Regions from separate parts of the Mus musculus genome. Here all the other regions are reported to be linked to region 6. Evidence: microRNA targets listed by miRTarBase, many of them from high-throughput screens and not tested one by one. Region 6 holds a microRNA gene; each other region holds the end of a gene's coding sequence.

Region 1 (4,056 bases), not on the chromosome of region 6:
CCTTGAGGTCCCTGATTCACTGAGCCACCACCTAGGCCAGTTACTGGCAGTTAGAGAGTTGAGATAGGAAGTGCCATAACCATTGCTAAGGGCACATCTCACAAAGCTCACAGGTGGGTGTTCTGGAGGCTGGCAGGTGCCTTCTGGGTCATGTGGGGCACAAGGGTCTTGAGAGAGAAGCTGGTGTTTTGCCTAAGCTGAGAGGAAAGGATGGCTTCTGCGACAGGGCTCCATCCTGTTCCTAATGAGCCTGGCAACCTGGAACATTCTCACTGGAATGCAGGACTGGCATGGTCAACTTTATTGAGTCTGTCAGAAGATCAGGGACACACTTTACCCCAGGAGTCCCCTCTTACTGGGAGGCACGGAGCCTGCAGACCCTGCCCTCTGTGTAGGAGGCCCACAGGCCCACTGTTTAGTGCTCAGATTTCTCTTCCACATGTTTAACACCAAGGACCAGGTCTGGACTAGACAATGTTGATGGTTTCGGGCTATCTGGATGGTCTTCAGAGTCCTCAGGAAGCTTTTGTGCGCCCTCTGCAGAGGAAGGCAGATGCTTAAGCAGTGTTGGAAGGAGTGATCTTCAGCTTCTCGCACTTCAAAGAGATCATTTTCAGGATGCTGAGAATGCTGAGAGTCACCAGCTATGTCATCACACAACCAGGGGGCGCCTGATAAGGTTTGAGCTAGAGATCTGCTTTGTCTTAGGGATTCTGTGGCAGTGACTCTTTTCTGCAGAAATAAAACCACCAGACACCGTGGCTGTCTGTATATGTATGGGTGTTTATTGTTTGCAAGATAAGAACAATCTGAAGATCTGTCAACAAGGAAGTTATCAAGTCACTTGCAGCACATCTGTACTGTGGAATACTTCATGGTCATCTAAAAGGACTAGTTAGATGTTAACTAGTTAGATACTGACCCAGAGAGTTTAATGGCATTCCACTAAATCAGGAATACAAACCGCAGAGAAACAAATATTATACAAGTGATCGTTGTATTTTAAGGGTTGTAATGTAACAAAACAAAACCCCTCTTCTTTATATTTAAACACAGTAAAGGGGTACAAGTTTCATACTAGGGCAGAGGGAGGAGATGGGGCTGGAGAAACAAAAACAAAAAAACAAAAGTCATTAAAAATGGACAGAAAGCACTAAATGAAGTCAAATAAAACTTTAAGGTATCCACCGCCCTGGCCCTGTATTAGGATTGCAAATTGCTACATTTGCAGTTGCAAATGAATAAAGGAGTGGCGAGTCTGGAGAGGTGAAAACGGCGGGCGTGGACTGGTGGGATGCCGGAAGTGAAGCCCCGCCCCCTTTTACTCTGCTGTCAGTTTGCGCAATCTGTTCTACAGCGCACGGGTTGGGAACACTTAGAAGGGCTAAGAAAACCTCTCCTGATCCACAAGTAAGAGCAAGGACGTCTCCGCTAAAAATCAAATAAGCGAAATTTGCAGTCAAAATCACATGGACACTCATTGGCTGTCACAGTTAGGCTTGTGGGTGTGACAACCAATGGTCTGAAAGAACTCAGCGATCGTGGAGCACGGGACTCTGTCCAGCCTACACATTTTCACGCTGGAAGGAAGTTGGTTGTCTACAGCTTTGTGCACCCGGGTAACTAAGCCTTAAGCTTGGAGCTGAAACACCAACATCACCATCTAAGAACTAACTATTCCTTCTTTATTGTCTGATATTTAAAATGGCGTGCAAGGGGTAAACTGTGTGATCTGGGCCTGCTCTCTGGTTTAGGATCAGTAGACTGAGGAGGTGTGTCTTGGCAGCAGTGGCGTACTGCAGCAGGCTGGTTTCTCTGGGCTGTCTGTCCAGTGGTAAAGGTTCCGCCCTGCTTCATGTCCCTTTACCATGTGACACCTGCCAGAGGTGTCCTTGAGAAGAACCGATTGCACTGGGAACTCAGCACTCGAAGTACTGCTATCAGCACTCGTGTTCTGGAATGTTGCAGATGAATCCTTTGACAATACCCGACCCCCCTGGCAGATACTCCGTTTACAAGAGACTACACCCAGTAGCAGTTATTTCCAGATCCCGCTCAGCAACTCCTGGAGTCCTGAAAGGTGAGGAAAACCTGTGGAAGAATCTTAAAAGATTTTTAAACATTTAGGTAACATTCATATTTTTAATATATATTTAAGTTCACAAAGTGGCATATCAGTTCTTATGATGGTAGACACCACTTCTTTATTGGGTCTTCCTAAAGATGACATTTCTCTTAGGCTTTTTGGCTAATAATTATATTTTGGGAGTGTTAAATGATTCACGGAGATTAGCTTTTACCAAAGTGGGTTTTAAAAACAGACAGTGTTTGCAGAGAGCTCTGTGCGCAGTGAGCATCTTAAGATGCCTAAGAACACACATGCACATAGGGCCAGGGGACATCAGAAGTAAACACATATTGGGCTTGGTGGCATGTCTGCAATCCCAGCATTCAGGAGGCAGAGGCCAGAAGATCATGATTATGGGGTCAACCTGGGCTACATAGAAAAATTTCTATCTAGAAAACAAATAAACACACACACACACACACACACACACACACAGGCATGCACACGCACGCACAATGTGTCACTTAAAAAGGTTTTCTTAACTTTGCAGACATTGCAGGGGCCCAACCAGCAAACACCAGTCCTTGTGAAGACGCATCTAGACACCACAAACACATCCTGCCCTGAAGCTGCTCTCCGGGAGGTGCATAGCAAATTTCCCTACAATCTGATTTCTGAGCCGTTGTCTAGTGTCATGTCTACTTTAGCTTAATTTTTGTTATATTGTCTCACGTAAGGTGTCAAGGTGCACGGTTGTCGCTCAGGGCTTCCCACTTAGTTCAGGGTGTGACTTCCACATTTCAGTCCACATTCGGGACTGCACTTGGACCTGAGTCTTGGAGGGATCAGGAGGCAGCTCTAGGCTACACAGAGCAGAAAACCTGAGGGAAGACAGAGCAGGGGAACCCCAGCTCTTCTGTTTTCTAACTGTGCTGGACAGGGACTCCTGCAATGTGAGCCTCAGTTTCCTGGAGTTGGAAAATCAGGTGGAGTGCACAGGACAATTCTTGTATCCTTTGGCTGGTTTCTCACCTAGTGTAGCTGCAAAGGCAGGAACAGGCCAGGTCTCACAGGGGTGGAGCATAGGGGCACTGAAACACATTATCAAACACATGGAGTAGGGGGAGTACTTGGGAGGGACTTTTGAAATGCCCTGAAACGCTACACGTTGTACTTTCAGAACACTCGGGGGCTAGATAGAGAGAACTGGGCTACCTCTGTCTACCTTTGCCCACCAGCTCACCTCTGTGGCTGCCAGCTTCATTGATTTTTACTTCACAATGAACCAAACGAAACCCAGCAGGCAGACCATCGCCGGTTGGTCCACGGCGACCCGAAGCGCAGCTCCCCTTTCCAGCCAGAAATCGCAGTGCTTGGCGGAGCAGATCTCTTTGATCAGCCGCCACAGGACTCGCTGGTGGAGCTTGCTATCCTGCTTCTCCCGGGAGAACTCAGCCTGGTTGGCCGCCTGGGTGGCGTTGACGCAGCTGGTCACCAGCATCTCCTTGGTCACGTTGGCTTCAGAGCAGCCTTCGTAGTAGATCCCATCAGGGAACTGCCAATAGTTAGCCGCGTAGTACCTGTTGCCCTCTGCTCCAAAGTCGATGTCCAGCTTCCGGCCTTGCTTGATGAAGGCTCCTGGGCGGTTCTCAGCTACCCGAGCTTCGGTGATCTGGCCGCCGCTGCTGGGCAGGACCTTCCGGTTCCACTTGAACCTGTGCTTTATGCCCCTTGCCTTGACCGTGGAGAGGTGGCTGGCAAGCAGCATGCAGAGGATGGCCACCCACCATGTACCCAGCCGGTTCTTCATGGTGAATCTGCAAGGGAAAGGCTGGGCTGTCACTCTCTCCTCAGGTGGCCTCCCACCCTCCAACAAGTGACAGATTTTAAAGGAATCCTCAGATCATAATGATGTCTATTGCACAGGCTGCAGTGGGTCAACTCACTGACAGCTTGCTTTCTTTGTTTTGGCCAGGGGTTACTCCTCT
Region 2 (4,062 bases), not on the chromosome of region 6:
AGTCTCTCATACTCATTCTAATTGTTTTAAATTCATAGCAGCAGCCAATCAGTAAATGGTTAAAGACATTGGTCATTAGGATTTGTTTAAACTTGCTTTCAGTAAAAGAAACATCCAGGATAATCACGCAGTCCTGAGTGTGATGTAGTAAATGCTTCTCTCGTATATTTTGTCTCCGTGTTTCCAGACTAAGCTGCAACTTCAAAGGTTAAACAATCATGCGAAGATGTGTTGTTGTACTCTGCAAACCCCCTGGCTGAAAGAAAAATACTCCATCTTTGGAGACACGCACTACTACAAAATCCATTATCAAATCCGGTCTTCTGCACTTTACAAACCGCTCCCTCCTGGGAATGTTAGTGCACCCCTGTCCACCAAAGGCCAATTTTGTCTTACCTATTTGTTATTTGATGTTTTTAGGTGAACTTGATCTTCATAAGAACTCAGAAGAGTTAGGAAATACTGAAGAAAAGCATGCTGACACACGTCCATAGGTGTGAACAAACTTTAAGAGTTCAGTTGTTTTAAACACAACAGGTAATGTAACCTTTGAGACAAGAAACCTAAATTTTTTATTATTTAATTTTATTTTCTACTTACTTTACATCCTGCTCACTGCCCTCCTCCTGGTCCCCCCTTCCCACAATCCTTCTCCCATCTCCCTTCCATTTCTCCTCTGAGTGGGTGTGGGACCCCCCTGGGAAAATCCCTGCCCCTCCCGTCCCTGCCCTGGCACTTCAAGTCTCTGAGATGCTATGTGCTTCCTCTTCCATTGAGGCCAGACAAGGCAGCCCAACTAGAATCCCATGTGCAGGCAAACAGCTTTTGGGATAACCCCAGTTTCAGTTATTCGGTACACACATGAAGACCAAGACACATAAGAAACATATCAGAAACCTAATTTCTAAAGTGAATTATTTGTATAACACATTCAGAGACAAAGGACTCCATTTAAATATTAAATATTTTTAATGTACTTTTTTCATCAAGTACATTTTATTTCCTGAGATTACAATTTTAATACTTTAAGCACAATAAGCTATATTTTATATGGTTTATGAAAAAGATTCCAGAAGAAATTCTTACAGTGGGAGAAGACTTAGAATTACTTTTTCTATGGCGCATAAGGAACCATTAATAACATAAATATCATGTTTGCTATAAGTCTGTGGATGAAAATAGTCTTGCTTTTAAAAATGGCTTCTGTGACTTGCTTTCCATCTGCTAGATTGATAACCCTAGAAATAATGCTGTAGAAACACGAAGACTATTTCTATATATTATGAAGTTTTAATGAGTGGATATATTAATATTAGTGTCTATTCAAACAGAACCACTGTCTTGGAAGGAAACAGGATGAACATACAACTAGAGAGGATGGAGTATGTAGTATACATGTCTAAAATATTAAAAAATGCATATCAAACAAATAGCAAGTGCTGTAAGGAATATTATGTTGCTTTAGTAGCAGGGGCACAGGAAAGTGGTGAGGGAGCCATGCCAGACGCTTGAGATGCTGGTTTGAAAGAGTTAAATGTGATTTGGCATTTAAGGCAATTGTTCAGTATTTGTGCAAAGACTCACTTGTGAGCATCTTAGATATGTTACACGAGGTATCCCATGGTGGCTATAATTCCTGTTTAATACATGAAGGTTGAAAATAAGGCAAATCACCAAGTGGCTTTTCAGCATCTCATGCCCATTTATGTATTTAATTGCTAGCAACCATTATAAGGACTTCCATACTTTCCACACAGATTGTATATTTATTAACTCTAGTGATCCTGGTCACTTAACGTGAATTTGAATATGAATATGCATAATTAAGCAATATTCCTCCCTTTAGGACACTTGCAACCCAATGTTTATTATATATCACCACAAAAAGGATAGAAAATAGTTTGGGTCAACATTTTATAAATATTTATGACTATTTACCCAACATGTATATAGGGAATACAAGTCACCAGTGTGTTTACTAAAATGACTGTTCAATGTATGAAAAAAAAGTGTACTGGAACTAAAAACTGTGCAAAACAGAGACATTTAAAACAGAGCTAGAAAGCAATTGCTATTCACTACCAATCTCTTATTTCTGGCAGAGTGTATAAGTCCTATGTAAAAAAAACCATTCAGTAGCTGACCCTTATGTAGCTAAATAATATTCTTTATTTTTCCTTATTTATTTTTAGTTACCCAAACTTGTAATTTTCACGTGTGACATGTTTTGAAGCCTGTCATCTTCGTGGAATGGTTAAATTGAACTAAATACTAAGTGTATGCCCTCCCACATTTATCACTTTTTGTTGGATAGGTGAAAAGGTACTCTCAGAAAGTTTCCAGAACACAATACATCATTACTTACAATATCTTCTGAATTTATCTCTTGAGTTTATTTTTGTGATCTAACTGAAATGTTCTATCTTCTAACTAACATCTACCCAACCCACCTTCCCATCCCTTCTCTGATCTCATTTTCATTTGATTTTTATTTCAGGAAAATGAAAGCAGCATGAAAAACACACAAAGACCTTGATTTTCTAAAAAAATAAAATAAAATGTTTGGCTCAGTCCATTTTAGTGGACTCCTCTGTAAGGAAGAAAAGCATAAATTTCAGTCTAGTAACTGAGCCACAAAGTTCCCACGAGTTATCATTAGGATCCTGGCCACTGTTTTTGCCATGGTTTTCCTTCCATGATTTGGTCATCTTAGCCAGAGAAATCTTTTAAGGCTGAAAGCTGGATGCTTTCAAGTTTTCATCATTTTTAACTTGTATAGAAGATGGAATGGATTTCAATATACAACTTGCACTGTGTTACTCCAGAGTGACGCAACAACACAATTGTCAACAAGCAAGGACAACAAGAAGAAAAACAAACAAACAAACAAAAAAAGAGTAAAAGAAAGGCAAAACAAAATGATGAAAACCCTGTTTTCTTGCAATGCTGATCTGGTAAGACTGTCTTGTTTTAAATGCATGGGAACAGAATGAGAATCAGATCTGTCTTCAGAAGCGCCAGCAACAGCTGACCGTAAGACCTGCCGCACAGTGATTGGATGAACGCCTCTATGGGCCTCCAGCTGGGAAACTACAGTGCCATCTTCTCCTGAAGTCATCGACCATCCTGCAGCCATCCACTGAGTTTTAAGGCACTAGTGTATCACCCATGTGTGTGTGGTTATATTATAGGTCGCAGTTTGCTGTAGGGCCAATGTAACAAGGAACATCAGCCATTGCAGGAGAAGGGCACTCAAAGAGAAGACAGAATTTTCCTTCTGGGATGTTGTTACCACTAGAATATAAAGATATATTACAGGCTGAGGCATAAGATGTGTGTGTGTGTGTGTGTGTGTGTGTGTGTGTGTGTGTGTGTTTGTGTCTGTGTGTCTGTGTGTCTGTGTGTGTGTATGTTGTAGATGTGTGCACTCGTGCTCAGAGGTGTATATGGAAACACATACTTTTCTGTACAGCTAAAACTGTTATGTGATGTGACTTTTTAATTTTACTGAAGAGAAATGAACTGCAACCCTCAGAGGCCCTGCTTCTTGGTCATGTTTTGCCTGAGCATGTGTGAAGTAGCTAACAGGAATGGTCAAGCCCAATTAGATGTTGTAGTATTTTCACTGTACATACAGTTCAGGGATTGCGAACTTCGTGAAAGGTGACAATTAGATGGAATGAACAGTTACTGTCAATTAGGTGATGTGCAGAAAGGTTCACCCATCCTAATGAGTTGCTTCTCGCACCTGTGTTTCCCCCCAGGTTCCTCAAGGCTAAGCAATATTTCAGAGAGGGACATGACAAGAAGCTTTTAAGCCTAAGTTGTGAGGTCTTTATAACTCACAATTTAGATCTACTTTAATGTGTAAGCCATATTCTCTATGCATATTTAGTATGCATTTATTGTATTTAAGATATATTGTGAGTAGACTGTATAAAATGCTTTTAAATGTTCTATGAATTAGATTACTAGTGTTATTATTGTCTAGATCTTGTTAAATAATTGAATTGTATTATAGCCATTATAATGTGATGGATATTTTAAATATCAACAGTAAAG
Region 3 (4,068 bases), not on the chromosome of region 6:
TTTAAGTGACTTTAATTTGTAGATAAAGCAGGAGTGTAAGTTGGAACCAAAAGAAAAATCAGCTGGCTGTCTTCACAACAGTGAGCAACACAAGGTGGTTGCAAATGCAAATTAATGCCAGGAACAGGAAGCACAAAGAGGACGGAGGAGCTTGGGAGAGATGCCGAGGTCTGATAAAGGGGGAAAGACACACACACACACACACACACACACACACACACACACACACACACACACACACACACACACAGAGACACACAGACACAGACACACACACACACACACACACACAGACACACAGACACACACACACACACACACACACAGACAGAGTTGTACTTCTAATGAGGAAATTACAAGTTTGGAAAATGGAACTTTGTAATAGATAAAGGTGCTGAGACATATATATAAGTATATATAAAAAGCCAACATAAAGAGATCACTGTAGAGGGTACAGACTGCTACATTTAAAGTTAATTACTTGGCAATATCCTTTAATATGCAAATTACATAAAGAAAAAAAATGAACCGTGTAAATGAAGTGAAATATATATATGACTGTGTTATAGGACAAAAGAATGGAGTAAAACACTTTTCACCACATTGACTACAAGCTGTGCTGGGAGCATGTAAGACAGAAGAGGCACACAGCGCTTACTGCAAAACAAAAGGTAGAAAGATCATTACATATTCCCTTCGTGTTTTCCACTACGCCAGACGTGGATGAAATCTTTAAAGAACAGTGACATGATGTTTAAACTGTAAACAGTGAAACCCTGGGCTTCCTAAGGTGCTGATTTCACACCCAGTATCACTTGGTTTGGAATTAACACATCATTGCAGAAGACCATCTAAGTGTCACAAACAAGAAACATGCACATACTGCAATTTTATTTCAATCGCACAAATGAAGTTAGTGTGTAGGAGAGTTAACTGGAACAGCTATGGTGGTAACAGCAGAGAACTGAAAACCTAGACAGGAAACACGCCTGCGGCATGAGGACCGGACATTCATCAGCGGTTCATCTTCAGTTCTGATTGACACGTTTTGAACAGACTTTGAGATCACGGTTACTATTCTCAAGAGATTTCAGCACCACGCTAAGGTTTGTACATTCAGATTGTTTGCTATGGACGTGCTAGCCATTCAGAGTGTATTGTAGAGTTGTCGCAGGTCAGATCACAGTGTTGAGGAGAGCAGAGCCTTCCTGTCATCACAGACGATCCCTAAACTGGACTCAGCTGAAGACAGTCAACACACAGAAGCAAGGACCCACCGTCACAATATGGTTCCAAGGAACAGTTTTGGGAAAACAACTCAAGCTTTAGCTTGCGATTGTAGTCACTGAAATCTCTAGCGACGACACGACTGTCCTGGGTGACAGTGAAGCATCCAGGTAGGAGCACATTTAGTCATGTGGGAGGACGTACTATCATGGAGGATACAGATACAGCATGAGCCAATGTCGGTTCTTTTTTTTTCTTTTTTTGTCATTTTTACAGACATTGTGTTAAATATTAGACCAAGGCACAAAACGTTTAGTGCATAAACCAGCTTTGTTTAGGACTTAGCATTTGACTTCAGCATTTTTGTCTCACTTTGGACCATCTAGACCCAGTACTCTACGTACTACAGACTATTTAACATTAGCAACAAAATGAAAAGCGATTTTTGATCAGATCTGTAAGGGATGTACACACGTACACAATCAAAGTAGTTGCGTAATCAAACGTTCAACAGTAAATGAGATGCATACTTCTTTTAGAACAGCGTACATGCTTGCCGCATCCTTAATGCCTTTACTATTCCTGCGAGACGACGACTGATGGGTAGAGAAAGCCACAGAATTGACTTATGACCGCTCATCCCTCACACTTTAATCTAAAGATGAAGTTTCTACAGAAACAAACACTCTTAACAAAACCCCTCATTCACACGGCTCTGCAGTGGGGTTAGCTGCAAACTGCAGGGTTTAGAAAACTACTCTCATCAAGCTTTGCTTTACAGCTGAGACATAGGAAATCTAGAAAGCAAATCAAAGTGGATTGTATCTACTATTTTTTTAGCAAAAGTTTTGATAGCCAAAGATTCCAAAGCAAATATGGCACATTAATAACTCAAGCATAAATCATGATGGACAGCCTGGAGAATTTTTGATTTCCTAGATTTTCCAAAAAGCTAACATTACAACATATAAAATTTTCTCCCTTATTTTAATCTTGCCAATTATAAAGGGGTGGAACATAATATCTATCACACACTCTTAAGCTCGATCACTTTCTCTCTCTCTCTCACCTGTGTGCGTGTGTGTGTGTGTGCGCGCGCGCGCGCGCACACACACACACACACACACACACACACTCAGGGTGTAACAGCAGACACTCCCTACCACTTAAGCCTCACTTTAGTTCTATTAAAAGAAAGCTGCAGAACTCCTCATTGGTCTCCCTTACCTAGTGACTTATGTGACCCTGGTTGCTGCCATTATTGATATTTCTTGTATTTTAGCACAGCAAAGGTCAAGGAGCAGCCGCAGAGTCAGGAGCGTGAACCCAAGCACTGCAGCACTGTGGGGGCCGCGTGAAAATAACTGCCAAATTCAGTGATCAAACTCGTGAGTTCCACAGTGAGACGGACTCACATGTTACGCTCAGAATCATGTTTCAGACCGTTGAAATTGCTGGTTAAAATACAAATAGCTGAAGACATGATGTAAAAGATTAAGTACTTGGTTTTGTTAACATGTTTACTGATTAAAGTCACAAAATATTTTTCATTATAATTCATGCAGATAATTGAGAAAAAAAAGATAGTGCAGAAATTAACTTTAAATAAAAAGTTATTCCTTCCCTTCCTCCCACTTCCCTATATTCTACAAAATATTTTCCCTGGGACTAGGCCCTGAAAAGGCCACTACATATTAGTGTGACATGCATTATTGTCTGTAATTAAAAAAGCTAACTTTGTGGTGATTGTAATTACATTATAAAAATGTCCACATGCATATGTCTAAAAAAGGTTGAAAACCTACAGTAAATCTATAATAGAATGTTTTCCATTTGACCACTGTTGGTTATGTAGAAGTCATAGATTTGGTAAAGCATTGTAACAATTTAGGAAGGCATCTAAATCTTTAATTTCTGGACGGACTTTATGTTTTAAACTACAAAATTGCATGAAGGCTAACCCGAGAGACTTCCTATCATTCTAAAATTCCTCAAGTGGGACTAAACATTTTGGGACCTTTCGTATTAAACACCACCCTCTGAAAGCACATACAACTCCGTTTGTTCCATCCTTTATGATCTTAGTGTTCACGGAATATCAAATATGATAGGAAGACAAACCTGAGAGAAACATTTACAACGCAACAGCAGAACTTACTAAATCAAATTCTTCATCAGCGCCCTCTGGAAAAAAATCTCTGAAGCCTTTCTCGTCTTTATTTTAGCAATGGATTATGGAAAACGTGCAGACTCATCTAGACATGAAAATATTTCAATGCACGGTGATCTTGCCTGACGGGTTTAGTACTGCTAAGGGAACTCCAATATCATTCTCCATCCTGTGGTAAAGGTCAGACAGAATAAAGCAGCACACTGAGGGGACAGCTGATCGCCAGAGTCACTGTCTGAGGCTTTCAGAGGTTGACGGCTTCCCTCCTGACTGTGTATCCATTTTCTTCTTACAGCTTAAAAGTTTGGGGGTTAAGAGTTGTTTGTAGGAATTTTTGTTTTCTCCAGATTCAAGTCCTGCCCCTCCGTAGTTTGCTTCTTTATGCAGTGTTCGACTTGCTCAGCTCCTGCCTGATTGCTACAACAGGGAAGAAACGGTTTCCAGAGTCAATCCACCAGAGGAGATACAGAGGAACGGGTCGCTCCTGAACAACTTTCAAGGTTCTGTTCTAACTGTTTCATACAAAGATACAGGATCTACATCTTCACTGCACAGATGTTTAATTTATAAAGATACTAATCACACACGACTATGTCCACTTACTCCCTCCCTTGTAGATTTAAGACAGGAACACTGGTTCTGTGGGCTCAAAAACAAGGGCAGTTCAATGG
Region 4 (4,068 bases), not on the chromosome of region 6:
GGTGCAGAGAATAGAGGTTGCCCTCTAACAGGTACACCAGTTGGTGGCAGTCAGGCCAACAGCATTGCTCTTTCCCTGCTGTGCCCCTTCCTGGCATTGACAGGATGCTAGCCTGTGTCCTAGGCAAGCCAGGAGTGTCTGAAAGAAGAGGAGACACAGCCATGGCCCAGGCAGGTATATGGCTCCATTGGGTTGTTAGGGAGCTGATCATTAGAGGCCAGGACTCCATAGCCAGGATCAGGTAAAGATTCAAGCTCTTGCCTGAATCTAACTCTTCCAGCTAACAGGTCTGCAGCCTGTCTAATCCGTCCCAGAGAGGGGCAATGAAGACCTGTGGCCTAGGGACTGCCTCTGGGCTCCCTTTAACTATGTCCTCTCCAAAGGGACCCAGGTGATGTGAGCATAAGGTGCTGTGCTGGCTAGTTTTAAGTCACCTTGACACAAGCTAGAGTTATCTGATAGGAGGGAAGCTCAGCTGAGAAAATGTCTTCATAAGATCCGACTGCAGGATGTTTTCCCATTAGTGATTGATAGGGAAAGGCTCTGCCCTTTGTGGGTGGTCCCATCTCTGGCCTGGTGGTTGTGGGTTCTATAAGAAAACAGGCTGAGCAAGCCATGAGGAGCAAGCCAGTAAGCAACACCCCTCCATGGCCTCTGCGTCAGCTTTGGCCTCTGGGTCCCTGCCCTGCTTGAATTTCTGCCCTTGTTGCTTTTAAAGATTTATTTATTTATTTTATGTATATGAGTCCTCTATCTGTATGTATACCTGTATGCCAGAAAAGGGCATCAGATCCCAGGATAGACAGTTGTGAGCCACCATGTGGTTGCTGGGAATTGAACTCAAGACCTCTTTGTTGAGTAGACAGCACTCTTAACCGCTGAGCTATCTTTTCCTCTGCCCTCTGCTTTTAGTGATGAACCCTGTCTATGGAAGGTCGAGTAAAAAAATTAACTTTCTTCCCCACATTGCTTTTAGTCGTAGTGTTTCATCACAGCCATAGTAACCCGAAGTCAGGAGCCAACCAGGAACTGGGATGTAGTAAAGATTCAGGTGTGCTTGCTGAGGGGAATCCGGACCACCGTAGAGAACAGGTTGTGGGCATGCTGACTGCTAAGCAGGACCTCTCAATTCAATACAATACCCCAAAGACCACTGGCCTCACACACTGTTGCCCACTAGTTCCTGCGGACCTGGTTTCAAACTGATGCTCCAGTAGCTCCTGGGCTATGCTGGGCTATGCTGGGCTATGCTGGCATCTGGGCTGAGAATTCTGAGTTCACTGAGTTCTGCATTGAGTGGAGGACTGAACACAGGGAGGCTTGAGCCAACCCTTGTCTTCAAAACTTCAGAAACAGACACCAGCCTCAGCACCAATCATCCCTTATATCTTGGGACCAGATTGATTCAGAGCCTGGGACCCAAGGGAGAACAGAAAGCACTACATATGGTCTTGTTCTCGTGACCCCCACACGGGGTCCTCAGAAGTGATATAGATGACAGGGCTGGAAGTTGAAAAGTCCTGGCAGGCAGGGCCCCTCCAGCAGTTCTCAGAGAAGTACTCATACAGTTTTCTAAAGCCTGGCTCTACAGGGAAGCCTACACTGTGTGCCAGGGTGGCAAGCCAGCAAGCAGAGTTAGAGTAGGCCCCAGCAGGCCTAGAGTGTGTTGGGCAGTGGGCAGACTATGAATAACCCACCTCTAGGATACAGTAGGCTAAGACACCACCTTAGCCAGTGTCTTCTTCAGAGCAGGCAGGAAAACCACTACAGCCACTGGAGCGCAGAGACCCCTGCCTATCCTGGGCCGTGCCTACCATCTGGGTATCAGCATTATCGAGGAAGGGAAAACATACAAGTGAGGGAGATGAGAAAAGTCAAAAGAAGGGGGCTGGTGTTGGAGAGACAGCTCGGTCGTGTAGAGCACATAAGTTTATTTTCCGGTGCCCATGTTGGACAACTCACGCCCTCTGTAACCCCAGCTCTAGGAGGATCTGATGTCTATAGCCTCTGTGGGTCCTTTATTCAAGTGCACATACCCACACACAAATACACAACCTACGCATCATTAGAAATAAATCTTAAGGAAAAAAGGAAGAAAGGAAGCACAGGGCTAAGGAAAGATCTAGGACGCAGTGGTCATCTCCTCCCCACAGCCTAGGCCAGGCCCTCATGCAGGATTCAGTCACTGCCTGGGCGATGCAGCCCTGCAAGCAGCGGTAACCCCCCACGGCGGCACCGCACCCACCCCACTCCACCCATCCCGCTCATCCACAAGCTGACGAGTCCTAACAGGGCCTCCTTTGCCAGTGACAAAAATAACTATTTTCAAAATTCACAGCAGGGCCTTCGCCTACACACACTGCGCCGACTGGGACCTGAAGGGAGATATGCAGAACGCAGTGTGCGGAGAGAGCAGCGCTATGCAGCTAGCAGGCTCTACAACCACCCCCCTCCTCAACACTACCAAGCCTGTGTCCCCCCCACCCCAGATGCAAATGTGCACAGGGGTGCCTGTAACCACCAAAAGTAAGGACTCTTGAATCATCCATTGTGTGTAGAGAAACACTTAGGCCCAGAGAGGGTCAGGGGTTTGCCTGCAGCTACATGGTAAGCCTGTGGCAGGACCTTCCTTCCTTCCTTCCTTCCTTCCTTCCTTCCTTCCTTCCTTCCTTTCTTCCTTTCAACCTTCCTTCTTTCCTTCCTTCATTCCTTCCTTCCTTCCCACCTACCTTCTGTCCCCTCTGCTAGCATCGAGCTCACACAGGTCTCCAAGACACACACACACACACACACACACACACACACACACACACACACACACACACACACTCAAACACACACAGACCAGCATCTCTTGCCTCTGGATAATGGCACTTTAATCAAGTTCACAGGCTCCTCCACAACCATCAGCCTGGCCAGTTTTCTACAGCACCAGCAACGTGAGGTAGGCAGAGCCAAGGCTCATATTTCCCTACTCCTTTGCAAGTAGGGAAATCAAGGCCCTGTGGGGAAGAACTGTGTTCAAGACCAAATCAAAGGCTCCTTTCACAGCTGCTTCCCCCACCCTCACTATACAGTGGCTCAGGCTCAGCCAGTTCCCCCTCCCCCCAGATGTTGGGGACCAAAAGAGAAGAATTCCACTAGGCTCCCAAGTCATGAGGCTCCAGGAACGTAAAGATTTCTCAGAGCCTACCCTGTCCGTTCTCTCATTGAGTTGTTCAACAGAGCAGCAGCCAGCTGGCCATACTCCAGCTGATATCCAAGAGCACCACAGAGAGCTGGAAAGAGGGTCATGGACTCAAGTTGTCTGGAAGGTGACAAGGTCAGCAAGAAACCCTGCCATGGCCCCAGACACATGTGTACACTGGAGTCCTAAAGTCACCAGAGCTCATCTTAGGGGTGAGATTGAGGCAGAATGCTGCTATAGGTAACCTGAGGGCAAAAAGGAAACTCATCAGGAAAGAGGCAGGATTGTGACCCAGGCAACCCAGCCTGGTTGCTGCCCTTCCCCAAGTCCCACCCTATTCAGCTGAGGGCTTCTGTGCCCTCCCTCCACGTGCCTACAGATGAAGACTTGACCTTGCCTCCTCCCTGAGAACCAGCAAAGGGAGAGTGTCTGAGGGGAACTGAGATTCCCTGCCACCCTAAGCCATCAGATCCGGTGGGACATCAGCCTGGTATTGAGTTTACGGAAAAAAGATCGAAGCTTGCAAATCTTGCATTTCTTCTTGCGGCGACCCCGGGAGAAACTTCTAGCTCTGCCTTCCTCCTCTTCCTCCTCCTCCTCTTCCTCCTCCTCACTGGCCCAGGGCCCCCAAGCACCCCCATTAAAGTCAGGATGGGCCCGAGGGTTCGCAGCTGGGTAACGCACGGGGATGGCAGTACGGTTATAATCAGCCAGGCGAGCCAGAAGGGTGCGGACTACATCGGGTCGCTGGCCAGCCAGGTCCTCTCGTTCGTAAGGGTCAGCACTGATGTTAAAGAGCCACACAGCCTGGCGGATGCTGGCCATCCGCTCCAGGTTCCACCAGCTGCCAGGGAAGGAGGCCAGTGTCTGAGGTGGAATCC
Region 5 (4,068 bases), not on the chromosome of region 6:
AAGAAGAGCTGCTTTCCTCTTGGTGGCAGGGACGCAAAGAGGGAGAAGAGACCTCCATCCTTTGCAAGGCACACATCAATGACCTAACTCACTCACACCTTTTAACAGCTCCACCACATCCTAATAGCATCAACCAAGGAGTATACATGGCTCCAGCTGCATATGTAGCAGAGGATGGCCTTGTCAGGCATCAATGGGAGGAAAGGTCCTTGGTCCTATGAAGGCTTGATAGATGACCCAGTGTAGGGGAATTGAGGGTGGGGAGGTAGGAGTGGGTGAGTGGGTGGAGGAACACCCTCATAGAAGCAGAGGGAGGGAGGATATGATAGGGGGTGTCTGGGAGGGAGAACTAGGAAAGGGAATAACATTTGAAATGTAAATAAAGAAAGTATCAAAAAGAAAAAAAAAAAAGAATGAATTGCTCCCCTGAATTAACCTCTCACTCCTCCCCACCTCCTCCAGGTCATCTGTGATAAAATATTCCGACACTGGTTCTCCTCAACACACAGGAGCCCGGCTGTCTCCCTCCAGCTTCGGCTGCAGCTACAGCAGGCCGTGCAGGAGTGTGCTCAGCACGGGGGCTCCTCGGGGAATTCCTGGACAGCCTCATCCAGTGTGTTCTGGAAGCTTCGATGGCTCTTGCAGGCCACTCTGAAAGAACTGCAGGAGGCGGAGAAGTAGCCTCTCTCTTGCCTTTGCCATCAAGAGTAGACAGAGGAAGCGACCTTCAAGGGACTCCTCCTGTAGTTGCTATGCAAATGAGCTGTCAGAGCCCGTGGCATGCTCTTCTGAAGTGTGCAGCTGAGCTCCCCTTCTGTGGCTGTGACGTGGACCTCTCTTGCTCCTGCCCAGCTCGGTTCGATCTGGTTTCGTGGCGACCTCCGGTCTGTCACTCCTTCCGCAGTGACCGAAGGGAGGAGTTTCACCAGAGTTGCCAGTCTGGAACCCTCTGAGGACTGTACACAGACCTTGCCACTATAGACAAGAGGCTGCTGCTCTTCCTTGTTAGCTGCTAACAAGCTAAAGCGTGGCTGTGGGCATACTGATGGATATGTTTGCAAATAATTGTGTGCATAATGTTGCACCCATGAGTGTATGAGTGGGTTTGTATATATGAATGTGTATTGTATACACATGAGTATGTTGTGTGTAAATAAGCATGGGATTGTGTGTATGTAAGTGGGATTGCACATGTTCTCATAATTATGAGTGTTCCTGTGCACGCAAGTGTGTGTGTGTGTGTGTGTGTGTGTGTGTGTGTGCACATTCGCATGCCCATGACCCAGTCATCGTGCCTGTGAATCTGTGCTCATGGATGAATCCATGTGAATCCACCCAGAAGTGCATGCATGTGTACATCCAGAAGTGAGTAAGTGGGTGGGCACTCGGAGCCTGTATGGAGAGGTGGCTTTTCAGTGTGTCCCTAGGAATCTTGCCTAGCTGGCAAAGAAGTGCTATTTTTCCCCCCTGGAATTAAATGCAATAAAATGTGTGTCCTTAGCGGCACAATTTGCTTTGGGGAGTATGTGGAAAGGCAGCTTTTAGTGCTTCCCATTCTGTGGAATTCTAGGGAGCACTTTACCATGCATCGACCGCAGCGCATCTTTCTTCTGAGCTGGACCAGGTGTCTGCGGAATGCAGTGTGTCTTGCAGCGACAGAGACAGTTTATGTAAAGTGCTGGGGTGGCCTCTGACCACAGGCAGAACTGAGGAAGAGCTTGTCTGTGCGTACCGACTGAAGACCCAGCCGAGGGCAGCGGACACTTCTTGTGGACATTTGATGATGCTCTTTTCCAATGGCCAGCTCGCACGAAGCCAGCCAAGCTGTGCATTGCTCCCCAACAGAGAGTGGAACCAGCAAGCCTTATGCTTACCATCTTGCTTCTACTCAGAACAGGGACCCCAAACTCTACAAGTCACAGGGAAGGGGACTCAAGAACAGTAGGATGTCTCGAAGATTGGGAAGGTGTGCTAGGGGCTTATTAGGAGAAAAGGACAAAATTTGGAGTTTTAAACATGTACAGAATGACAGAGCCTCACCTTTTCTCTTCATATAAGACCTTTGCAGTCCAGAGAACTGCCTCTTTAACTCCTGTGGATGCAGTTCTCAGGGCTGTGCACACAGATGACATCCTCCCTACTCTGAGCAGTGGCACTAGGGGATGGAGGCGGGTCGGAGGTCACACCAGTCCTGAAGCTGTCTATGATCCTGAAGGCAGGAGATGTCTGTTTCCTGCCGCCCCCATCCCCTCAGCCCACCTACCAGCAATTTGCCAGAGAAGGCTGACTTTCTTAAAGGCTATCATCTATCCTGTGCTGGAAGACTTGCTTTTTGTTTCTGTCCTTTGATGGGAGCCTGCGCAGGTCACTCTGCCAGAAGTGAGCAAAAGCCCACGTAGGTGCCCAGGTCTAGGCTAGCAGGGAGATAGCCTAGAAGGTAGGGAGAAAGCTCTGGGATTCCTATGAGGCTTAGCAACTTTTCTGTCTCTGCACGGGGAGTCAAATGACTCCTTAGTAGCCCTCTGGCTACTGACCAGCCGCTGTTAGTTTTTATTCGATTCTAAATGGAAACAAATGTTTTGTTTACCATGGAGACTGTGCAATATATGATCACCCCACACAATAGCATCCCTTTCTGCATGTTTTTGGCTACACACACACACACACACACACACACACACACACACAGACTCCTTGCCTAAGGATCTATTTTAAGGCAGTGGTTCTTAAATTGTGGTGAAATTCACTTTTTAAAAATGTTTAAACCTTTTTCAAAATACTGCTTTTATATAATATAATAAACAGACATGATGGTATTATCAGTATTTAGGCTTTTGGCTTTTGTTTTTGATGCTTGGGGCTGAGTACAGAGCCTTGAGCGAGCTAGCCTTGTGCAAGCTAGCCCAGCACCATACCCTGAGCTATGAACCCAGCCCCATATTATTTTTTTTTCCAAGAAAAGGTCTCCCTGTGTAGCTCTGGCTGTTCTGGAACTTGCTCTGTAGACCAGGCTGGCCTCAAACTCACTGCCTCTGCCTCCTGAGTGCTGGGATTAAAGGTATGCACCACTACCACCTGGCCATATTTAATATTTTTAATATGACAACCGAGAATGGTCATTGCTGACCCAGCTGAGCAATAGCCATACTCATGAGGATAAAAGGGGTTTTAATAACACTCACAACAGACAAACCATTAACTTCAAGAGTTTTATCCTAATTAAAACTGGCTTTTTTCCTTTTCTTTTCTTTTTAATCAGGGTAGAGCAAGAACATAGTCCCTCACTATCACAAATTATGCAGTTTCCTGCATTTGGGGAAATCATAGGGGTCAGCACATCCAGACTGCAATGGGTAAGGCTCGCCCTGGGAAAACTTCCTTCATGACCATGATATCTCCTCTTCTAAAATTGGCTTGGTTTACTGTGAATCTTTTTGTCACAAACCAATTTTCAAAGTTTATCCTGGTTAGCATTAACACGATCTTTCGAAGAAAGGATTCTGGACTCACATGCCTGTTGACTTATGGAGGACACATATGAACAGGTTTCCTGTTCCCTTGCACAAATCTCACAGGCCACTTGAGTTCCGGGATACCCGAGCTGGTCATTGAGTGGGCATCTTGCCCATATCCTATAACAGTATACAAACACTGCTGATACAGACGAACTCTGGTAAATTGAAGCACCAACGGTTCTCAGGCAGGCCTCCTCTTAGATGTCCAGCAGGCTTGCCCCCTGAGAGGCCTACTGTGTGCTCACTCCCTTGCTCGTCCTCTTGGAGGATCCAGAATGCACAGTTAGGACATTACTGCAGGTGTTGGAAGGGGGACTATTTTACCACTGTATCAGGAGGCTCTTCCTAGAACAGCTGGAGGTGGCAGCGTTTGGCTCAAATGTTCTAAAACCAACATATAAGGAAACTCATATTGTCCTGACAAATGCTACTCTGGCTCTGAGATCTGTGAAATTCGTGTGAGAAAGGTACCTTGGAAAGAATATGCATCTCCATAGTACACACAGACACACAGACACACAGACAGAGGTTCTCCTTACAACTGGCTTTCCTT
Region 6 (4,068 bases):
CAGACCCTGCCCTTCCTCAACAGCCCAGAGTGCAGAAGTTTGACTTGGACCCATGAATGTCCCATGGATATATATATATATATATATATATATATATATATATATATATATAAGCATTTCAAAAAAATTACCCTCTTTTTGAGATTATAATATAATTACATCATTATCCCCTTCCTCCCTCCAAACCCTCCCACAATGCCTTGTGCTCTTTCAAACTCATCGCCTCTTTTATCATTATTTATTGTTACACACATACACACATATTAGGAATGTATGTATGTATGTAGGTAGGTAGGTATATCTCTAAAAACATAAATACAACCTATTCAGTTAGAAACTATATCCATAACATCTAAACATGAGCTGAACAAGGGCAACACTAGACATGCTGAAGTAGGCAGTGGAAAGCCCTCCATCCTACACAAAGACCTACAAAATGCGGAGAACAGGAGAAATTGCTTATCCAATACCAAATGGACAGCCCTGGAAATATACATACAAGGGACATTATACACAGCTTGGCTTTTGCATATCAGAATGGTGTACAGGGGAGCTGGTCTCGAGACAAAGCAATGTTAACTGTAGATTCTGCTCTCTAATTTCTTTTAAGAGTGTATCATTTGTCACAGTGCTCTGCCAACTGCTAACTGCAGTATCGTTTGTTCTGTTGGTCCACTAAGAATGCCTGTTGAAAACACACAAGTGCTGCAAAACAGCGCCAGAAGAAGCCTTCACAACTCTGATTTCTGGGTCAACTGGTATTGGAACATGCTTCCTCGGGTGAGGGTTCTTAAGAAAAAAGATTGCTGGAAAGCGGGCACCAGAGTAGACAGAGACAGGCATGGGATGGGCTCCAGCTTCAGTTTTCTCTTTCAGTCTTGAACAAAGTACCGACCTCTTCTGAGCATCAGTATCTTCATCGAGAAGCCATGGGCAGCATGCATGCTTCTCATCTGATTAGAGAGTTGAGATGGAGATACATAGGGTGCTCCTGTGTGCAGCAGGACTCACTCATGACCTCGTTTCCTCTTCCCTTGTTTTTTACGAAGTCTGCAGAGAAGTGCCAGTGCCCAGATTAGTCAGTGAACGATGATAATGGCATGCTAATATTTATCCAGTGAAGCACTTTGCACAGAACTATTTGTATCATGTTTGTATAATTAGAGGAAACGCTTCTCATCATACATTATGATGTGAACTTTCCTTCCTAGGCTCCCGGTAATTAGATTTGGGTGAGGAAAAATTCCCCGAGTTGTAAAAATATACAAAAACTTTTCTCGAGTTTGCTTTGTGTTTTATATTTGTGACTAGAGTTTGCCATTTCTCTTTTTATTAGGTGCTCACCACAAGTATGTTAATGAGTGGAAGTAGTGGGTGAAAACTGGCGTTTGAGAGCCATGTTAGGTTTAAGCTGACATGAAATTCATATTTGGAGAAACAGAGTAGGATCCGAAGTGACTAGGTAGTATAAATGCTTCAGAAAGCCTCGGTATATTCCTTGAAGAAAATAGACAATTGGATACTTTTTGCTCTGGGCTGTGAAAACCCTTCTGAAGAATGTGGCATCTGGATTCTACTCAGCTGAGTCCACATGGGTATACTACTAGTAGACTTTACTACTATCTGGGGGGTAAGGTGGGGTTTGCAATAGGTGCAAATAAAACTTTATTGAAGTATTAAATGTATATATCACAAGAGAGTGCTTAACAGTGGGGTGGAGCAAAAAAAAAAGAGCTGAGAAATTTTCATGCAGAAAACTGAAGGAATTTAGTGAAATTCTTTATTTTTAACTCCTTCCCATGCTTGAAACAGGGGTCTCTAGTCTAGCCTGGTCTTGAACTCAGTCCTCCTGTCTTAACATCCTGGGTGTTGAGATTACAGGCAGTCACTACCATATTTATCTAAAGTCTACCTTAGGAAGACCCCTCTACTCCTGAAACAGTTTTAAAAATCTCCTTTATATTCTTATTACCTTCTCTTTAGTGTGTGTGTGTGTGTGTGTGTGTGTGTGTGTATGTGTGTGTAGTATATGTGCACACACACACATACGTACCCATGCATGCCATATCTCATCTCTGGAGATAATAGGACAACTCGTAGGAGTCAATTTTCTCCTTTACCCAGTAGTGCCCAGAGACTGATCTCAGGTTGTCAGGCTTGGCAGCAAGCACCCTTACCCTCTGAGCTGCCTTATAGGTGTGCTTTATATTCTTAATACTACTGAAGAGTGCAAGAACCGTATGTTTGGATGGATTGTCTACCAGCATTTATTATAGTGCCAATAAATGTGATTTCATTAAATACAATAAGGACTTTTTAAAGCACAATATTACTAATGCATAACACAATGTCCATTAGCCGCAGTGATGACATCATCTTGTGGCATGCAGCCTCTGGGAAACTCCACTGTACAACTGTGGGGCAAGAGCGAAAATAGCATTTGATGTCATTGTATTAATATATAAAAAGGGCTCCAGAGACTCAGAGGACCTCGGGCATCTCTGAGGACAATTGTAGTGGCTTGTAGTCACTAGAGAGGTCACGCTGATCTGTCCTTCCGTAACCCATCACTCCATTCCAGGATGAATGACATTATTCACAGGGTTAGAAATGAAGAAGGCAGAATTTCACAAGTGGCTCGTGGCCGAGATTTGGTACTGCAGGAGCACAAGAAGAACTACAACAACAGAAGCATTTCATTTGCCATCACTGTGTATCTTTGCATAAGTATTTTTTGCACAAGTTAGGTTAGATCTACATCAAATGAAAAGAGTGGATGTATTTTAGTCAAACTGTGTTAGGAACTTCTGGCCTATAATAGCAGCCAAACATGGGATGTGTGTGCAACCTCCAAACTGGGAAACACTTAAGAGGTGTTTCCTTGAGCTCCTGGCTTGCTTGGCTAGGGCAAATATGACGAGGAGCCTACCAGGTGCTCTGCTCAGAGCTGCAATGGGGAAAACCCCATCCAAACGACAGCAGAGCACACTCAGCTAGTAACAGCTAGCTCTCATTAGCCCCTCACCCGATACAATTAACAGAAAAGAATGAAAGACAGAATAAGCTTAGGAAACAGGTAAAGGGTGGTTTAAGTATGGTCTTAATTCTTTTGAGACAACCATCCCTCCTCTCTCTCTCTCTCTCTCCTCTCCCTTTTTTCCCTTTAATGTGATGTATTTATTTTTATTTCATGTGTATGGCTGTTTTACCTGCATACATGTCTGTGCATCATTTGTGTGCTAGGTGACTGTGGGTGGGAGTCAGTCTCAGTCTATCTAGATTTACAGATGGGCTGAGCTATCATACTGGTGCTAGGAACCAGATTAGTGTCTTCTGTAGGAACAGTGTGTGCTTTTAATTCTGAGCCATCCTGCTAGCCCCACAAGTGCCCCCTTTAAAGCAAACATCTGAGAGTGGCCACAGATCCTTTGAATATTTTCCCTAAATTCACACTGGAGGAGCCACCTTAAAACACAAAGTCTCCTGCCAAGTCTCTCCTCTGGATTGGCCCTGCTGGATTGGTCTAGTCAGTTCCCATCACCATTGGCTAAGACATCTGGCCACTAGGACGCAGAGCACACAAACATTGTCTTTGCAAAAGCTCAGTCAGCGTTGCTGGGACGCACCTTCACCCTGACCACCAGGAGCTTATTTCCCCCATTGATTTGTCTTTCCAGTTTCCTGTGGCTTTAGATCTTTTCTTTTACTCTTTAATGAAAATCCACACGAATGAGACCTTTTGCTTCTAAAATGCTAAGTTGTTGTTATTGTTTTTTGGGGGGTTGCGTGGGGGGATTTTCATTGTTTAGAATTTGTCCTGATGCTCAAGAGATTCACTGTTGGTCACCCAAATGAAAGGCTGTCGCTTCGGTGGTCTAGAACTCGTTTTTTTGTTTTACTTGCCTCTCACACTTGCAGATCTGTGATCTTGAAGCCAGAGAAAGAATTCCACACAGATTCCCAAACATAACATTCTTTCTGACAGGCAAATAATTCCTCAGGTTTTCAGCTGTTGCTGTCTGCCTTGTGTGGCTTTTGCTTTCTGATGTGGTCGAGCTATGCCTTTAT
Region 7 (4,068 bases), not on the chromosome of region 6:
TCACTGTAGAGTCTGCTCTTGTTTTGGGATCCTCAGGCACACACAGACTTATATCTAGGGGGTTTGGTTCATTCCTTTCACATATTGGTCCAAGCTCAGGTTGCCAGGCTTGGTGGCAAGCACGCTCTCTCCATCCCATGAAAACTTTCCAGACCAACACTATGATATTCTCACTTTGTTCTCTCCACAGGAGGTAGTGGAGGATGAAGATGATGACTTTTTGAAAGGCGAGGTGCCCCAGAGTGACACAGTGACTGGCCTTACTCCGAGCTCCTTTGATACCCACTTCCAAAGTCCTTCCAGTAGTGTGGGCTCCCCTCCTGTGCTGTATATACCAGGCCAGTCTCCACTCCTCACAAGGATCTATGATTGAGCTGCGCAATTCTTCCCAGGGCCCTGTGACCCTGTGTTCCACCCCGACCCCACACTGGACTAGTCTATGCCTCATGTGTCCAGCTTCCATGTTGGACTTCGACCAGCATCTGAAGGGAACCAGGTTGTGTGTGCTTGCAGTTTGCTCCCTGTTGACATAGGGAAAAACTGAGTGTCATAGGCAGTATTTCACAGTGGACATTTCACAGTATTTCACAGTCTTGCCTGTGGCCTGCTGGCTGCATGCTGTATCAGCCACAACCTGGCAAGTGGCCTTCTGACAGGTTTCTTTTTATTAGAACCACAGTTTTGACTTTGTTTTGGTAAGCTGTCCTCCAGGATCAGCACTGCCTGTGAATACTTTGAACTGTCTCCTGCTTACAGGGGTGTAATGGTTTCCTTTGACTAGAAGTCTATTTGTGTTGTGGGGTGCGTGGGGAGAGCCAAGCAGGCAAAGCTGAACATTTGGGCTTCACTGAGGGACACCAAGGGCTGCAGAGGAGTCAGGCGGGAAGAGAGGAGTCGGAGAAGCACACAAGGTCCTTGTGCAGGAGTCCCCAGAGACCTAGCTGCAGCTCAGGCCGACTGAAGCAGGCCTGGGGGTCTGTCGAGCATTCCACAGCCTGCACAACACGGACTCAGCCAGGAGAGCTGTTTTTTTTTTTTTTTTTTTTGGTTTCTTGAGACAGGGTTTCTCTGTTTAGCTCTGGCTGTAGACCAGCTGGCCTCAAACTCAGAAATCCGCCTGTCTCTGCCTCCCGAGCACTGGGATTAAAGGTGTGCACCACCACTGTCTGGCTCAGGAAAGCTGTTTTTACACTGAACAGCCAGCCTTGCTCTGTAGCAGGTGTGCTCGAGGACTGTGGACGTTGACTTCCCTTGGATCCTTACATGTAAACTTGCGTGTTTGTGAAAATGGCCCTTTAAGTATATTTAATTTTTTGCCACATATTTATTTAAAGGCGAGCAATATTTTCTTGGTCACAATATTTTTTAGTGGAATTCCTCTCAAGGTTTTTATACTCCTGTGTAATAAGACTGATGCAGAGCCCTGAATTTCATTCTGTCTATGAATACCTTTTTGAACAAAGAAAATTTTATTGATTTAAAAAGCTTTTATATGAGACAGACAAGTCCCTGAGTTCCAGGCCAGCCTTGGTGGCAAGTCACTAGGAAACTTCAAGGTCTGTCTCATCTTTATTTTACTGTGTGCCCCTGGCTGTCCTGGAAATCACTATATTGCTCAGGCTGGCTTCGGACTCAGAGATCTATCTGCTTGCCTCCAACATTTGAGAGCAGAGAGTTTGCACCACCACTTCCCGGTTCAAGGTTCTTTTAACTGCTAACTGAAAATGGAATGAAATTGCATCCATAGATACTGATGGGATGCCAGGCTTGGAAAGTAGCTAGAATGTAGAAGGTATGTTGACAAATAAGCCTCTTAGGTTACAAAGGAGTTTGGGGGGAAAAAAATATCCATTGTGAAAATGAAAGTACAGCCTAGCTCACCTGGGGCCTCCCTGCTCACACCAATGCAGGTTTCAATAAAGACTCAGCCATGCTTCCGTGACTACTGTGTTGAATTTTAGCCGCCTGCTCCTAAAGGGAGTGGGATGGTTAGAAACAGGCATTGGTTAAGATGTTTCTCATGCTTTGAACAAGCCTATACACTTCAGAGAAATTGCGTGCTATCTGGGCATGGTGATACACTTTCTGTAATTTCAGCATTTGGAGGTTGAAGTAGGAACATTTTTAAGTTAGAACCAGACATAGTAAGATGATTTTAACAGCTAAACATTTTGGGAAGAAATTAGTGAAGTCTCCTTGGAAAACAGAGAATTTTCTTTTTCGTATTGAGGATGAAAACCAGGGTCTTACACATACATGCACCCAGACCAGTTGTCTTAGGGTTTTTCTGCTGTGAACAGACACCCTGACCAAGGGGACTCTTATAAAGGACAACATTTAATTGGGACTGGCTTACAGGTTCAGAAGTTTAGTCCATTATCATCAAGGTGGGAAGCATGGCAGCCTCCAAGCAGACATGGTGCAGGCAGAGCTAAGAGTTCTACATCTTCATCTGAAGGCTGCTAGCTTAATACTTGTTCCAGACAACTAGGACTAGGGCATTAAATCCCATACCCACAGTGACACACCTACTTCAACAAGGCCACACCTCCTCACAGTGCCACTCCCTGGCCCAAGCATATACAAACCATCACACACGTCTGAGCTATCTTGTGAGAAGAGTTGGCTAGTGCTGTGTGTTTTGCAGCCTGTGTGCTTGGTGGTCTGGGGAGTGGAGGGCTTGGCATCTTCCTTGAGGCTCGTTGCAGCTTGGGTCTTGACTCCATTGTCTGTTCGCCTTCATGTCTGGCTTTAGTAGTGTAGACAGGCTAGGCTGTTAGCTGCACTCAGCTCTTCACTATCTACTAAGTGTCTACATAATGCTCATTCTTTGTGTGTGTGTTCTCTCTCTGACACAAGGTTTCTCTGTACTGCTGGCTGTCCTGTAGCCCAGGCTGGCCTCAAACTCAGATCTAACTGCTTCTGCCTCCTAATCGCTGGGATTAAAGGCATGTGCTCCCACATACATAATACTTTTTTTAAAAATTTATTTATTATTAAATTTAAGTACACTGTAGCTGTCTTCAGACACACCAGAAAACGGTGTCAGATCTCATTATGGATGGTTGTGAGCCACCATGTGGTTGCTGGGATTTGAACTCAGGATGTTCGGAATGGAAGAGCAGTCAGTGATCTCAACTGCTGAGCCATCTCTCCAGCCCACATACTACTTTTTAAACAACATTTCTTCTCGCTGCGGAGGGCTGGTCCTTGGCTTCTGCTATGAAGGTGTGCTCACCGACCTACATTCCTTGCTTCCCCACACCCATAATTACATGGTATACAGTTTAGTACTTTCTACCTGTAAGCACTTAGCTATTTCACTGCTCAGGGAATCTTCACATTTCTGTCTTCTGGTTCTTATAAACTACAATTCAAAGCCATACCCAGGGACTGGAGGTGGCTGTGTGGACCATAGCCCTTGCTCCACCAGCAGAGAGATCAAGTTCTGTTGACAGCATCCACATCAGGTAGCTCACAGTCTGCTTCCTCTGGGCACCTGCACTCACACAACACATAAATACTAGTAGAAATTAAAAAAAAAAGCCATAATTTTAGTACTTTAGACTCTTAAGATGGGACTGCCATGAGTTCAAGGTTAGCCTAGGCGATACTGTGAGTTGTAGGCCAGCAAGAGTTAGTTGCAGAGTGAGCAACGGTGGTGTGATTGATTATTCCAGGAGACCGGCAACTCATTTTAGAGAGTTCAGCTGAGCCTCTTCCGAAAGAAGTAGCACAGCTGGGCTTGTTGACCTTTCGCTTCCTGCCACAAGGGTGGGAAGGCAGCGAGACCTGAGGATGCAGATGCACCTTGCCACCCGTTGTATGACAGTGCCTTAATTGTGTGGTGCGGCAGAGTAGTTGGGCCTGCGATGACTAGGGGAGGGGCCCTCATTCCTGCAGATGCAGCTGGTTAGGTGGAGGACACCCACATCACTGTAGGTAATATTTCACCTAATACTTCTGTAAGGAAGCCCCAAAACTCATTCACTCCTCAAGTGAACTTGAGTGGAATCGTGCTGAGTTAGGCTTGTCAGTGGCACCTCCTGAGGTGTCCTGGTTTGTTTT

Evidence for each region. Region 6 holds the annotated microRNA mmu-miR-466q (GUGCACACACACACAUACGU, at 2,032-2,051, shown strand). A microRNA usually pairs through its seed, bases 2 to 8, with sites in the 3' UTR of a target mRNA and lowers its output. Matches are read on the target gene's strand: a 7mer-m8 pairs with bases 2 to 8, a 7mer-A1 pairs with bases 2 to 7 and ends in A, and an 8mer does both.
Region 1: the mRNA of Prnd is a reported target of mmu-miR-466q. Seed matches in the 3' UTR shown: 7mer-m8 at 2,568-2,574.
Region 2: miRTarBase lists Pde1a as a target of mmu-miR-466q. Seed matches in the 3' UTR shown: 7mer-m8 at 3,421-3,427.
Region 3: the mRNA of Enah is a reported target of mmu-miR-466q. The part of its 3' UTR that is shown has no 7-base or 8-base seed match.
Region 4: the mRNA of Arsi is a reported target of mmu-miR-466q. The part of its 3' UTR that is shown has no 7-base or 8-base seed match.
Region 5: miRTarBase lists Dipk1c as a target of mmu-miR-466q. Seed matches in the 3' UTR shown: 7mer-m8 at 794-800, 7mer-m8 at 1,068-1,074 and 7mer-m8 at 1,258-1,264.
Region 7: the mRNA of Rrn3 is a reported target of mmu-miR-466q. Seed matches in the 3' UTR shown: 7mer-m8 at 1,150-1,156.

Annotation. Positions count from the first base shown.
Region 1 is chr2:131,952,838-131,956,893 of GRCm38, reverse strand. It overlaps Prnd (prion like protein doppel), which reads right to left. Exons shown (of 2, transcript NM_023043.3): 2 at 763-3,885. The coding sequence starts at 3,878. The coding sequence ends at 3,339. Prn (prion protein readthrough transcript) reads right to left here. Exons shown (of 5, transcript NM_001278259.1): 4 at 3,312-3,885; 5 at 763-2,073. The coding sequence ends at 3,339. Among named protein-coding and RNA genes, the nearest start is that of Prnd, 4.0 kb to the right of the region's middle.
Region 2 is chr2:79,835,360-79,839,421 of GRCm38, reverse strand. It overlaps Pde1a (phosphodiesterase 1A, calmodulin-dependent), which reads left to right. Exons shown (of 16, transcript NM_001159582.1): 15 at 421-537; 16 at 2,498-4,062. The coding sequence ends at 494. Among named protein-coding and RNA genes, the nearest start is that of Ppp1r1c, 130 kb to the right of the region's middle.
Region 3 is chr1:181,902,084-181,906,151 of GRCm38, forward strand. Enah (ENAH actin regulator) reads right to left here. Exons shown (of 15, transcript NM_010135.3): 15 at 1-3,814. The coding sequence ends at 3,777. Among named protein-coding and RNA genes, the nearest start is that of Gm33669, 26 kb to the left of the region's middle.
Region 4 is chr18:60,917,353-60,921,420 of GRCm38, reverse strand. It overlaps Arsi (arylsulfatase i), which reads right to left. Exons shown (of 2, transcript NM_001038499.2): 2 at 2,860-4,068. The coding sequence ends at 3,653. Among named protein-coding and RNA genes, the nearest start is that of Camk2a, 6.2 kb to the left of the region's middle.
Region 5 is chr18:84,738,907-84,742,974 of GRCm38, forward strand. Dipk1c (divergent protein kinase domain 1C) reads left to right here. Exons shown (of 5, transcript NM_173770.5): 5 at 463-1,530. The coding sequence ends at 681. It also overlaps the pseudogene Gm25005. Among named protein-coding and RNA genes, the nearest start is that of Gm38576, 3.1 kb to the right of the region's middle.
Region 6 is chr3:28,417,957-28,422,024 of GRCm38, forward strand. Mir466q (microRNA 466q) reads left to right here and starts at 1,987; the gene lies at 1,987-2,062. The region is part of intron 2 of Tnik (TRAF2 and NCK interacting kinase); the gene reads left to right.
Region 7 is chr16:13,812,900-13,816,967 of GRCm38, forward strand. It overlaps Rrn3 (RRN3 RNA polymerase I transcription factor homolog (yeast)), which reads left to right. Exons shown (of 18, transcript NM_001039521.1): 18 at 191-1,942. The coding sequence ends at 373. Among named protein-coding and RNA genes, the nearest start is that of Ntan1, 4.3 kb to the right of the region's middle.